Lepisosteus oculatus: one gene and its partner. The protein of the gene in region 2 interacts with the protein of the main gene of each other region in a biochemical or structural test. Links are inferred from orthologs where the notes say so. Each region holds a gene or a part of one and is shown on either strand. Other genes may lie near its edges.

What was found.
Region 1: the proteins of myo6a (region 2) and dab2 form a complex in vitro, tested with the Homo sapiens proteins (7 studies listed by BioGRID). The link is inferred for Lepisosteus oculatus from reciprocal best matches to the Homo sapiens genes MYO6 and DAB2.

What each region holds. Positions count from the first base shown.
Region 1 is NC_090698.1:23,189,075-23,196,909, forward strand, and holds the start of dab2 (disabled homolog 2), read left to right. Parts: upstream 1-4,816; 5' UTR 4,817-5,032; intron 5,033-7,835. UniProt on the Homo sapiens protein: Adapter protein that functions as a clathrin-associated sorting protein (CLASP) required for clathrin-mediated endocytosis of selected cargo proteins.
Region 2 is NC_090697.1:9,138,195-9,145,203, reverse strand, and holds the start of myo6a (myosin VIa), read left to right. Parts: upstream 1-3,995; 5' UTR 3,996-4,141; intron 4,142-4,950; exon of another isoform or gene 4,951-5,075; intron 5,076-7,009. UniProt on the Homo sapiens protein: Myosins are actin-based motor molecules with ATPase activity. Unconventional myosins serve in intracellular movements. Myosin 6 is a reverse-direction motor protein that moves towards the minus-end of actin filaments.

The sequences.
Region 1 (7,835 bases), on a different chromosome or scaffold from region 2:
GTGACCTAGCTGTGGAGAGTCCAAATGAGTAAAACGTAATAGTCCTAATTCAGATATTTTCTAAAAACACTTTATCAATTAAATTAGAAATAGGTTTAACAAAGGGGCAATCCAGTCCATGAGGGCTGAATGTTATTCACATTTTCTTTCTCTCAAATTAACATAACAGACCACCAGCCTAAGTGATCAAAACTAAAATGTATCCAGGTCTTTATAAACCATTAATATAATTGTTACCTGGGTTGGTCCAACCAGTTGAGTTTCTTTTTTATGATGAAAACAACAAATCTTGTAAAATATAAAAGGTAAGAAGTGAAAAACCACTGCTGGACTTCATTCTTTTTTTTTAATTTTATATACAGTAGAATTCATCCTTTGTGTTACTGCTTTATTCAATTCTGGGTCATGGCAGAGCCGGAACCTATTTTATATGGAGTCGTTTGTCATTATCTGTATCATCTCAAAGCACTGGAAAGAAAAGATCTTGACATTTTTTACTCTTGGATGTAACTCTAGTTGCTTTATACTTCACAATTTTCAAATTAATATGAAAGGATTTCTAGTTACACATAATGTATACTCTAGATTTCTGAGCCATTTAAAACATCTGAAAAGAAAAAGATTTGTCTTTATTAACAACATCTCTTTAGCTATTGATTTCACCATCTTGGAGAAAACTTTTGTTGTGATTCAGTGAAGACCGGCTGTAGGCATTAATGTAGAATTTCCTAATACTGCTGCCAAAGAATTCTGCTGAGTTAACAGCAAATAGGCCCTGTGCTTCAAGAAGGAAAAAGAATCTCTGTCAGACATCATTTTTTACTGCCAGTATGAACAATATGGAAGTTGACCTTCACAGACGTGGCTTGAACCTCAACTTTAGCTTTGATAAAAGAGTGACGACAGAAAAGAAACGTGTCTGACATTTTCTGGTTCAATCTTTGAGTTTTTGAGTGGAATATGTGCTTATGTAACTGTTTTTCGCTTTTCAGCTTCCTCCAGACTTACACAGGAAGAAGGGGATAATGAGAAGGGATGCAGGCTGTGTACACAGGCATACCACAATTATCCTAAATTTCACTAGAAACCTTCCTGTTTTTAACATTGTTCTGAGAACGTTAGAAGAGTGCAAAATTGAAAATGAGCTGACCATGAACAATTCTACATTCCATATGAATTAAAAGATAAAAACAAGCTCCTCGTATTCAGTGCTTAGTTATAATAGGCTGCATTTACTTGTCTGAAGCTGAAGGCTGGATCCAAGAGCAGGTACTGTAAGTAGCAACCACTGAGGCAAGTGAACAAACAGTAGCAAAACTGTCCAGAGCTGAAATCGAAAAACCAACAACTGTCGTAGCCAGAGAGACTCAAAATCAAAGCACCACGGGGAATCCATAACAAAGGTCACAGAGTGTAAGCAAAGTCCAAAAACCAGGGAAAACTCGAGCAAGCAATCCAAAGAGAAATCCACAAAATTAAGCTGAAAGAAGCACAGTCAGGAGACAACATAAATTCACAGAGAGGGCCAAGACCAGATTTGAATCTCTAAGACTGAGCACTTGAATATCACAGGAGCAGCTCTTAAACAGCCAGGTGTTTTAACTCGCACAGGTGGGACGACCTTTTCATCGGGATTGGGTTGTCACAGCAACTGGCTGATTGAAAGGTCTTGGCGGTTGCTGTGGTGATTCAGGTGCAGTTTGTGATACTTTGGGTACTGTATGATATCTTATTTATTGTGATCATTGTTTTCTAATGTAATTTTAAGGATCACTAACATAAGAAGGCAGAAAATACCTCATGAAAAACTGTAGGTTATACTATTGTCGTGGACTCTGTACGCTACCCTAGTGCTGGCCATGTTAGGACCAGGCTGTAAATATGATCTACTGCTTGTTGGAACTCCAAGAAACATTTTCGATGTAAGACATGGTTTTTCAGTCTTGATTACAACACCTGGATTGTTTACCACTTCTACACAAAATATAAACTGTTGCTATCTTGCCACAGGTAGTATCACTGTATTTTTGTCAGAGTAAGCACAGTTTCAGTTTCAGCATCCTTCCAAGCTTGGATATCTGTTTCCTTATGATAAGTCTATATTATTTGGGATTTTATTACATGTATGTACTGTAAAGTGTGCAGCATTTAAATCAAAGCAGTTACCAAAGGCATTGTATAACTGTTACACTAATTTCACAATCGAATATTTGCTGATATTACATAAAACCCAGTTTTACTTGGCTTTTTTATAAGAAGAAAGAACAGGGCAAGAGATGAAAACCTTAGCTTTTGTTTTGCCCTTACTTTTAAAAGAGTAAAAGAACAGTGTGATGTAAAACTTGAAGTAGCAGACATCCCAAAAACAACACCATACCCACCAGAACAGCTGGTAAGAGATGGCATAACCAGTTGGATTTCAGCAGTGCAGCTGGATTATTTAACTTTAGGTCTAAGGAGTCACTGTCATGAACAATTACTACTGATTACTGGTTATTACTGATAACTGAAAAAAAGACTTATTACACAAGTGCTCAAGTTTGTATTATCTAAGTGCTTTTACATGAATTATCAACTCTTAAGTTTTTCTTTCATTTTATTTCAGTTTGTATTTACATGATTGCTTGTGAGCCTCTCTCAAGTTACTGTAACCTTCTGGCTTCTTATCATCCATGTCTGTCCAATAGTATCAATGTAATGCATTGTAAGCATATTGTTGTTGAATTACTGTGAGATCCAGTGCTTTTTCAGAATCCTTCATGACACAAAGAGAATAATATTTATTTGATACTTCCAAAGCAAACTCTTTCAAAATCATGTTTAAATTATTTTTAAATTTACATTACATAATTCCTCTCTACATAATTATAATTACTGTAATAACAATAATTATAATTATTATGCAATAATAATTATATTGTTATAATTAATAGAGAGCAGAGTGAATTTCATAATTATATTTACAGGCAACCTTAGACAAGCAAAGCTTGACATGCAAAGCTACCAATAGATGGAAATCCTAAAGTATCCCACTGCTAGTCCAAGATTACAGTAAATCAGATGGCGTTGAAAAATATTTCATAATCTTTAAACTTTTAGTCTCTCTGCAGATGCTGCAAACAGATAAATACGTATACAGTATCATAGCAAAAAATCATGTCTAATTTTAATCTACTGAGAAATAAATCCTCTTGGTTCTTATTGGTGCTGTACAAAATAACAAAACTTTTGGGATTAGAAAAATTGTTATTGAAATTATACACGTGTGATCGTAATTACTACTTAAAATCACAAGGACATCCTGACATCCTGACAGAATAGGTTTTAAAAATCTGTACATTATTACCACAATATACCAATCCTGGTTTCTAAAGCTTATTATTTATTGTTTGAGCAGTAACAAAAATGTAAAGTAACAGCTGAAAATAATATCTTGTATTATTCCATCCGATAATACAAGTAGAGCTTTTAGTTTCTGAAAACAAAAGAGAAAAAAAACATATGCAAATACATTAAATCATGACACAAGGGATGAAAAGTATTATTTTCAGTCTGATCTAAAAAAGGAGTTTAGCTGTAACCCTTCTATAAAAAAAACTTATAATTAAGACTTGAAAATAATAGTTTGTAGTAGGTGGTAGTTTTTTTCTTCTTTTGGTCTTGGTTCTGTAATACCCAGTAGGACTGCCTGTAAGCCCTTGAGTGTTTTACATTTAGGTAATGTGTATTTTATCAAATATTTTTAAAAGAAATACTGTACCATAATGACTGCATGGTTCAAATGGCATCTTTTCATTTGTTAACCTCCCACAGTATATATGATCTCTCTATGCATGTCTTACTCTCTCTCTGTCTCTGTTTTGATTTGGAATATTATGATTAATATTTTAATTCATAAAACTTAGAAGAGTCATAAATTGTTGGGTCAACACACTATTGTCTCATTCTATACACAGGGACACTCAGAGGTTAACTCCACGCTGAACAGTAGGTCATCTGCCTCCTTTACATGTTAAATATTTAGTAACATCCGGTACTAAAACTCTTGTGTAATCCAGATGCCACATTTCAAGTTTTAAAGCTGACAAGAGGAACATTGTAGAATGTAGCAGCAGGTCTGTCAGGGGGTGAGAGGAGCTACAGTACACCGTATTGTACCCATGCCTTCAAATGTAATATTTTGAAAAATATGAAGATGTTTAATTCAATATAGTTACAAAAGCCGTTATGTGTACCATGAACATTACCTTTCCAAGTATTTAAATCACAATTACAGTAAGTTGTTTTGTACATTGAAACCCAGGAACATGATCTTCAAAAGTAAAGCCCTTATTTTCCATGATGATGCAATCTATGTTCATTATTCTGTCAAATTTACTACTCCCTAGTTCCACTGAGAAAACCCTGTTAAAGCAGCTGTAAACTGAACAGTTACTATTTCATTTCAGTCGTTTGTGCTCATGTGCTCATTGTTCAAGGGGTTAATTGACATTTTAGGGGGTCTATTTATAACTTCATGTGGGCCTACGTCTTAACTCACATATTATATTTGTCTTGGACTCAGCTGTTTCTACTCCACCAAATGGAGTAATAAGTTCCATATGTGGATTTTTTTAGAACAGATTTTTGTAAGCGAAGAAATGTTTTGAAGGATCAGGGCAGAGAGTGACTGAATACCGTTATACACCTCATTTAGCATTCGACAAGGCAGGCACTGTTAAAACCTGGGCAACAAGCCAGTTTCTCCTACCTAATACTGCAGTAACTAGTCTTAAAAGAAAAAAAAAACTTTTTACAGTATTGTTTCTGAGTTACACATACAGTACTTAGAAGCTGGAGTTCTTTGTGCTGTCTTTTGAAATGTGCATATTCCTTTGTCACTTTGGCTGTTTCTCCAAAAGACAAATGAAGAAAGCCTTCTGAGCAGTAAGCCACATCTCTTTGAAGTTTTTAAAACAGGAAATAATAAGACAAGGAAATAAACCACCACATTTTCTATTGCATGGGGATACTGGATAAAATAATACATACGGTAGGTGGAAAGGTTGGAATTGCTATGCTCTGGTTAAATTTGTATTGTAAACTGTAATTGTCACATTAATTGTGGATAGAATTGCTTTGCCTGGCATTGGGGGCTATTTGTAAAGTACTGTAACTTTTCCTACAGTAACTCAATCAGTGGAAAAAGTAATAAGGAAAGGCATGTCTCTATGGGTATTCCCCCTGTTTCTATGCAATTTTTACATTACTCTGTTAGTTTTTGTTTTATAGGATTTATTTACAGTACATTTTCCTTGAATGTTTCAAAATGTAGTCAACAGATTTGCTAATATAAATGTTTAAAGCCTACATAATAAAACCAATCATGGCTAAATGGTATAAAACAACATGCTTAACTATTTAGTTTCCAAGGGAATGCAATGTAATGAATACAGTATTAAAGACATTTTTGTGTACATTTTCTGTTAAAGTACCTGTAGTTTATTTCATTCCTATTAAGTACATGGTTTTCATGTATGGAAAATACAGCATAATTTCCATCTTAACAAGGTTTAATTTGTTTATTTAGAGACTGAAAAAAAATCTATGAACAGTTAATTGAATGCTTAAAATAATTAATGAAAATTGTGTAATCTAGTAATCTTGGCATTTTCACCAATGTTAACGTTCCTGTTTTCGCAATATAAAGCATTAAATGAACCTCAGAAATTGCATAGATCATCATCCAGACACTAAAAGAGATGAGGGATAACAATGATCTTTGTGGGTAAACATAATTGTCACTCCAATTTACATACTTAAGAGGAGACAGTAGGGCAAAGAAAGGCTGAGGTGTCTTTGTTTTTTATTTTTACAGCTCTGTGCTGCAACAACAGCTAAAGATGAGGTGCCATCTTCCTTAAAAAAACCTTTACATTCAGGTTAATCTCTAGGATCCCTGTGTCATGGGTTTGAGCCTTGGGTTAACAAAACAAATCCTTGTGTAAGTGTTGAAAGATGATTGTCTCAAAGGGAGAGGTCAGGGGAAGATTGTCAGAGGAGTTTGCCTACACTTCCTTATTTTTCCCTGTGTATGGTTGGGGGTTTGTAGGCTTGTTTGTAGGTCTGAGCAGTGATAAGAGAATTGGTATGATCTATAAGAATATAACTGGAAAAAAATATTTATTTTAAAGACAGCGATTATGCACATACAGTAGTAACATGCCAAACTTGAACTCTTGTTTTCAAATACCAAGTTGTCTCACATGTCCTAGTCACTGTAAAAATAATCATTTGCTCTTGCTCTTTCTCCCTTCAAGGTGCCATTTTGGCAACAGTTATTCACCCTAGAAAAAAACATTGGTCATAATAATAATGAGGCTCATGAACTAAAGATCTAATGTCTCAAACTACCAATGCGCATGCTATTACCAAATGTTTTGGACTGGAGCAAGTTTAAAATGTTACACTCTAATGATAGAGGAAAGAGTGGCTAAGAATCCCTTATTTACTTCTCCATCATACAGTATAAAGCAGGAGTGCTTCATCATATTACATTTTTAAGACCTTATCAAATAATATTTATGCTGACCCATAAACCACCAGCTATTCACTTAAAAGTATTTTAGCAAGTTTTTTTGACTGTTTGCTTCTTCCACATATACAGTAAGACTATGACTAAGATGTCAAAAATTACTTTTATTTTAGCATGTGTAGCATAGAACATCTGGATTTGATCCCACACTGGGCTGGCTTCTGTGAGTTTCACCCTGCGTCCAGCCACATGGGTCTTCTCTGGGTGCTCTAGTTTCCTCCCTCTTAATTGTGTGTGTTTATGCATGGGCCAATGTTGAATTGATGTCCCACCCAGGGTGTAGTCCCATTTTGTGCCCTATGGTCCAGAATGCTAAGACCCTTACTAGGAATAAGCAGATTTCTGCTGGGTGAGTTTTCAACATAAAATGCCATTTAAAATATGTCCATGTTTGAATCATACTAAGGTCCGTAGCTAAAGTTCTGTTTGAATTAGGATAGACTTGGATAAACTGTACAGTTACTTTTTTTGTCACCCTCTTGTGCCTACTGTACTTACTGTTTGAATTAGGATAGACTTGGATATACAGTTACTTTTTTGTCACTCTCTTGTGCCTACTGTACTTACTTTCAAACAATACATTTGAATTAATTTGAAAGTAGTTACTGTACTGGTACCTACTGGTTTCTTTCACGAAAATGCTTGTTGAGATCATTGGATCAACAAACTGCTAACAGCCTAACATGCTAGATGGCTCTTCTTATTTTTTTATGTGTTTAAGTGGAGTGTTATTGAAGGTTCATCAGGGATGACAGTAACCAAGTTTTACTTCACCTCTGCTAATTTAATTTGTATTCCTCCGTGATGTCACTTTCTGGAAAGCTAGAAATACAATTGTAAACCTCTCTGCTCCTTGCATTCATCTTTCATCTCATTCCCACCCCTACACCACCTTTACAACTATCCTTTGATTAACTACTACTGTAGTTAGTTTGAGTTTTAAAGTAGCTCTTCTCTTCCAATTTTGTCTTCAAAGTTAAGTGTCTCAGTCCCTTATAGTTTATAAAGGCCAACCAATCCACTCACTACACTCAGGGATTACCTTAACTGCCATGCTATCATTTAATGCAACTCTCACAGTGAATTTCAAATTGTTACAATAGCTGTATGTTATACTGTAGCTGTAAGCTACTGAACTTAGCAGTATAGTGCTATTTCAACCTAACTTCTACTGTAGTTGGTATAAGATCACTTTATTAGCCATACACAATTACTTGCATTAGGAATTTGTCTTTTCACATACCCCAGCTTGTTCTCCATA
Region 2 (7,009 bases):
TCTGGACACTCCACTCAAAGCACTTTACAGGTAAGGGGGACTCCCCTCCACCACCAGGACACGAGGGTAACACACTTACTCTTTTTTTTTTTTTAGTCTTTTCGAGAGACGCCCTGGGATTTTTAATGACCACAGAGAGTCAGGACTTCGGTTTTATGTCTCATCCAAAGGACGGCGCCTGTTTACAGTATAGTCTCCCCGTCACTATACTGGGGCATTAGGACCCACATGGACCGCAGGGTGAGCGCCCCCTACTGGTCCCACTAACTCCTCCTCCAGCAGCAGCCTTAGTTTTTCCCAGGGGGTCTCCCATTCAGGTGCTGGCCAGGCTCACACCGGCCGAGCTTCAGGGGGTCGTCAGTTGTGAGTTGCAGGGTGACATGGCTGCCGGATAGCGATTAGCTTTGACCTTGCTCGCTAAGGAACTAAGAGCACCCAAATGATGCCAGGAAAATGGTGAAGTCAGGAAAATCACTGAACAAAGTGCACTTTCACGGTTAATCTGTAAGAGAAGACATCAGTGATCAGACTGTTGAAATCAGCCCGCAGATGGAGGCCAGGAAGTGCAAGATGAAGAAGAGGGAGGGCTCTGTCCAGGGCTAGAACTTCTTGGCAGAAGATGATCCCCCGTGATCAGGAAAGACCTTGGATAGAATGGAACGAACTGGAAACTAGGCTGGCTGATACAAGGAGATGGCCAATGTGCTGTGGGTGACCCGATGGGCAGGCAAGCACAGGGAGGACCAAAGAGACGCTACTCATTCTACACAGTTCCACAGTTATTTCAAGGAATTCCAAGAACTGTCCGGAAAATAAAAGCAAAAACGTAAAAGCGATGAGTATCAAGATTCGTGTGACAGATTAACACATTTAATGGTTCATTCTGTCTTGTTACTTGACCTATAATGGACTAGCACAATGGCATTAGCATGGTATGATTTTCCAGCATGTGTGGTTTTGATGACCCCAAGAAAGTAGGCTCTTAAAATATTTGCACATTTAGATATTTAAAATGTGATTACATTTACAGTGAAAAGTAATTTACAATTATTATTATTAAGTATTGGGTATTTATTGTAGCTCTAATGGTTTGCCGCTGATAGTGTCTTACATTGTGCTGCTTATTTCACACATGGCAGCCGCTGTTGCTGCAAAGCAAATTAAATTTTAAACTCTCAATTTATTTATGTGTATGCAGTAAATGAAAACCAAGCAAAAACACTCACAAAAAAACCCTCTTCAATGTGGCATAGGTAAATGTATAAAGAATAAATCTGAAGAAAGCAGTATTTCATTAAACCTTAAAACACATACGTAATTACGTTTTCAACATCTTTGTACAGAAATGGCATTATGTCAAGATAATTCTCCACATGACTAAAACGAATCAAATCATAATCAAATGGAATGAGGTACCATCCAGTTTCTGAAACGTCTTCCAGCATTTACATGAAGTGTGACTCAGAGGTTTAGACCCAGCAGATTAAACATAATGAAATAAAATAACATGTAAACATTTCAAGAAACAAGTTTTTGCCTCATTGTTCCAACACAGAAAAATGATACAGTTGCCAGGCTTAATGTATCAGGTGTCCAGCTAATTAGATGTGCTCACCCTGTATTGCCTTTCAACCTGGGATAAAATGTCTCCTTTAAAAATACTTAAAAAGTTTTATGTTACTGGATAGTTAAAAATTGATGAACAATAGATTGGCATGTGTTGTATTCTTGTGGAAACCATGGTGATGTTAAAATCTACCTCACCTTACATTTCCACTTCAAGTGCTCTCTGAAGGATGCCGTCTCTGTATTGGAAAAACTCCCAACAGCAGAAACATAAATTTCCTCGAAGTGGATATTTAATTTTTCTTTGAACTGCTTGTATTTTTTTGCTAAACTGTTGATGTCTGCTTGATAGTATTAGCAACACTCTCAAAGTGTTCAAACACAAGAACTAATGAATTCTACCCCCCAACGCAACATAAACGATAATTAATAACTGTTTTTTTGTATTACAAGATATAAGTTTAACATTATTATTTGTAATAGGTACAAGCTTATAATATCCATTCACTTTGAATCTGTTCCTATGGATAACTGAGACCTTTATTGGAATATATTTAATAATATAAAGTAGCAAGCTTCTAATTAATCTTAAACACAAATGAAATCTGCTACTTAAAGTGCTTCGTTTGTGTTTTCTTTGCAATTAATAACTTAGAAACAACCTTTAAGACTTATCACTTATTAAAACTTAAAAAGGTTACAATAATATTCACAGCATTTGTGTTAATTATATTCTGTTATTTAATGTTTTTATTTACTTTCTTGTGTGCTTTATACTTTTTTGTTACCTGACACAAGGTTTAAGTTTCCTCTGCAAATTCTAAACCTTGATTAAATTAAGGCCTTCCCCTGCCCATCAGTCCTCCTGTCCATTTCCCTAACCACTTTATCCAACTCAGGGCTGCAGAGAAGCCAGAGTGTGTCCTGTCAAGCAATGGGCATAAGGCACCACTCCATCACAGGGCATACAGACAGACACGCTCACTCAAAACAGGGCCAATTTACAGAAGCCAATTAACCCACCAGAATGTTTTTGGACTGTGGGAGGAAACCAGAGCCCACACGGGGAAACAAACATGCAGAGCACATACAAGCTCCACGCAGACAGCACCCCAAGACTGGAATTCAGCTTGGGGCCCCACTGCTGTAAATCAGCAAGGCTAACACACATTATAAATACAGTACATGACATCACCTTTTGAATCATAGAGTCTTTTTTGCTCCTATGTAATGGGAATCTACCATCAACACTTGGGTGCGCAATTTGCATTGTGATGAAGGGTTTAATGTTTCTATTCCGGGTCCTCGTCTTTCCAGAATCTTCCAGATGCCAGGCGCAGGTTCCGTCTTTTAAAAACAACACCACTTCGCACTCATTTCGCTTCTTATATTTGATAAAGTGCAACTAACAAACGGCTCATTAACACGTCACTACAGTGCAACTGGAATTGTGAGCTTCATTCTTTCACGCAGATTGGATTAATCATCCAAACGTTTTATCATTAAAAGCAGTTATCATTTATGGGGTCCGTGTCTCGTCAGCTGCAGGTTTAGGGAACGAACAAAAAGGCTTTTAAGGAGTTAACCAAGAGGTGTTGCACGGTCCGCCAGACACGGCATCTGACTAAGTTTCACTCAAGGTATATGTGATCCCGACAGGTTACACTTCCCGAAGGACTTCTGCTGCCAGGTGACTTGAACTACACCGGCACCGGCAGATGTCAGCTGGAGCGTCTCTGGGGAGCTGCAGCTCCACATGACGATACAAACCGATGGAAACCAGTGGTCCGGTTTAATAAAGCGCCACTGACACGGGGGCAATAAGCTACATATTATTCCACCACGGCATTAAAAAACTCATTTTTTAAAAAACGCTAGTCCAACATGGTATGCTTACTATAATACTAACTTCAGTGCTCGATGTGTTTGGCTCCGCTCGGTTAACTCTAGAACTTCTTGAAAAAGTGATCTTTACATTTCTGACCCGAAGGCATTAGGAGAGAGTCGCACACAAGAACTATAATAAAAAAATAAGCAACCATAAAAAGACCCAAAAGTCAATTACCGCCTTTTCACTCAAAAGCCACATTTACGTACACAGTACATATTATTTGGATCAACTAGCAAAAATATAAGAATATGAAAGCTGTGTGTACCTTATCTTTATTTGCCTCATTTAACCTTTTTTGTAAGATGCAACTGATGGTGTTATATGTACTCTTGTGCGTATTATATATACATCACTGCTGTTACAATAATAATAATAAAAAAAAGAAACTAAAAAAGTCACGCCTTATCTCCAGCCGCCCCGACACAGGCGGCTCACGAAGTCACCCGTCTGCAGCGCCCCCTCTCGGCCGGCCGCGGCTGCGCCTCTTCCAGTGACGTCACGGCCATTTCCCAGGACGTCTTTCCCAGCGAATTGGAGAGCCGGGGCTGCAGCAGGAAGAGGAGCACGGGGAGACCGGAGCCGGGATCTGCGGCTAGGGATCACTTAGGGAAACTTGAACTTTCTGTGTGCACAAGAAGAAGAAGAGGAAATCGCCCCGGAGGACGTTCGGAAAATCGGGACAGAGTAAGTTCCTGTACAACTTTCTGCCTGATTGAGCGTTTTGGATGATGGGGGGGATGTCGTTCAGTTCTGTCGCACTCCGGCTTTGAAACATTAAAGTAGAAGGAAAGGCTCGCCGGTAATGCTGATGCTAATGGAGGCTGTCAAAACACAGGAAGAGCTGCCACTTCATTTAAACTCCCTTCCAGTCCCACAAGCACAGCGACCCGGATTCTGAAAATCCTGTGGTTTACAAATCCAAGCGTGGGATTTCTTTACTTGGTGAATTTGCATATCTTGCAGCGTGAGTTATATTAATTGCACCGCTGATAATATTGCCGGGCAGTAAATACAGATAAAACTAGTGTAAATGTGTCTGTCGGTCGCTTGACTTGTTTTTTTTCCTAGATCCATCCTCTTTTCCTTTATCATCATTTGTATTTGGGTTATCGGTAGCAAAAAAAAAAAAAGAACCGTTTTATTAAGCGTGAACTTGAGTAAATCCTCGGATCCTAGCTTTTTCTGGGCTGTGAAGAGTAATCCGAAGAAATGGCACTTGATTTGCTCTCTGATTTTCTTAAGAGGTTTTGGATATGGGAAGCTTGACAACTTGGAAACTTACACCGCTACTGATACGGACGCGTGTATGAATCTACCTGAGACGATAAAATATGGAGGAGCAGGGCCTCCTGACACCAAGGAGAGCTGCACTCGAGTTAAATAACTGGGTAGGAAAATCGGAGGTACAAAGGTTGTGGCTGGTAACTAGATGCAGGAATGCCTGAAGGCGTTTGCCATTAGCTTTTGAGATACGGAGGCAAAAAATATTACGTCTCGAGTTAGGTCTCACGCTGCGTTCTTGCTGAAGTGAAACTTTAATTCAAAGTTTAAAGCAGATTTTAGGAGTAGTAGTCTGAATTTCTGACACACGGAAAGTTGGAAGAAGCACCCGCAGGAGGTAGGGCCCCTAACCTAATGAATGGTTTGTTTCTAAAATGAATGGAGAAATCGTTAAGGACAGCCTTTAAAAGGTGCAGTTGACTACCCTTACGCATACTGTAAAAATACTTTGCAATGAACTTGCAGGTAAAGTGGGATTTTAAGTCACGACGCACTGCTATTAAACATTGACTTTTATTTTAAATGTATGCTGTTGATTTTAACCGGTGCCCACCACGTCCTACATTTAAAAAAAGATTTTACATCTAAAATAACGATTTCCTGTTAGGTAGTATTGCTTAAAATCACTTGGACTGCTGTGATTCAATGATAGCAAGATAACTATCTTTCCAATTCACTGATGAATGAAATTGGAATGAATGACATACGTCTAAGACCGCATAGATCAGTATTACTAGTACATATTAGGTGACTGGAAATTGGTTGAAACTTATTGCCTTCAATTACGTTGAATTGTATTATAATTCTGAGCAAGATGTAGCTTTAACATTTAATTAACTTTTAGAAAAAATAAACATTTGTCTAACTGTACGTCTTGTGAAACACCATTATGACTTAACCTTTGTACTGCAAGAGCTATGAATTGTGTGCAGCTGGAATCTTTGGTTTATGAGTGATGGCATAAAAAGTTACACTATGTAACTAATTCTTGAAAATGACATTGTAATACGTTCCTTCAAATCCATATCTTTTGGGTATCATTTAACCATTAGGAATAGTTTCTTTTGCAAATGGTGTGCAGTGGAGTGGAAAAACAGCCTCAGGTTCAAAGGGCTGCTAGTACAGAGTAGGGACTTGGTTAACTATTTCTATAAATATGCAGACACTTCCTGCCAGCGGTGGTTTTACAATTCATTAAGAAACCTTGAGCCCATTTGAAGACCACAGTGCAGAACTGTACGATAAAACACAAACTGCTTTATTCGGTGTAGGAGAGAGAAAGTAAAAACCATAGAAATGCATGACTTAATTTAACGGCAAGATAAATTTAGCTATGATGCATCATTAGACTCTAGGATCTAATGAATGGTGTCAGTGCACACCCTTGGCAAAGAGTGAGTTCCACTTTACAGCACAGTATTGACTGCAGAGGAAAGTTGCAGGGTGAAGCTCATCTCCTGATTTTAACACGGGCATCGGTATCAACCAGGGATTCCAGTTGATGGAGCTGTCCACCCAGCTCCTCCCAGTGTTATTATAAAGGGAACGACACCTCCTTATCTCAGGGCTGATTCCACATGCAGTGGAATTTGGACCGTGTCAAACATTTCCGGGATACACATCTGTGTATTACAAAGCTTGATAAAAGGTGGGGATGTCCTTAGAAGCGACAGTTGGAGAGGAGTGTTTGTTTTTGAAGTGCGGCACCTCGAACTTTTCTTCATCGTCATAAAGTGGAAATGGAGGTTTTTCTGCTTCCAATGCTTATAATTCATTAGTGTGGTTTGATGACATTCATCCATTTTCTAAACCGCTTTGTCCAGTACAGGGTCACCTCTGGATTGGACACCAGTCAGCTGCAGGGCTCACTCAGACCAAAAATATACACCCATTTACACCAGGGCTAATTTACAGAAGCCAGCTAACCTTCCAGCATGTCTTTGGGCTGTGGGAGGAAACCAGGGCACCTGGTGGAAACTGATGTGAACATGGGAGGAACATAGAAACTCCACACCGATGGCACCCTGGGAATCCAAGACGCTGTACCAGCACTACGAGGCAGCAGTTCAAACCAATGTGCTGTTATGTCTCCCTAGTTTATCCACAATTGCCTTTATCTGTATAGTTCCATAATTCAAGTGAACCTATTAGTATACTACAAAGGAACAAGAAAAGGTTTATTCCATGCTGAAAAGAGAAACGCAAATGCAATGTTTCGGCTGTGGAGTCTTCTTTGGGTGTGAAGATTTTGAAACCCGAAGAAGGCTCCAC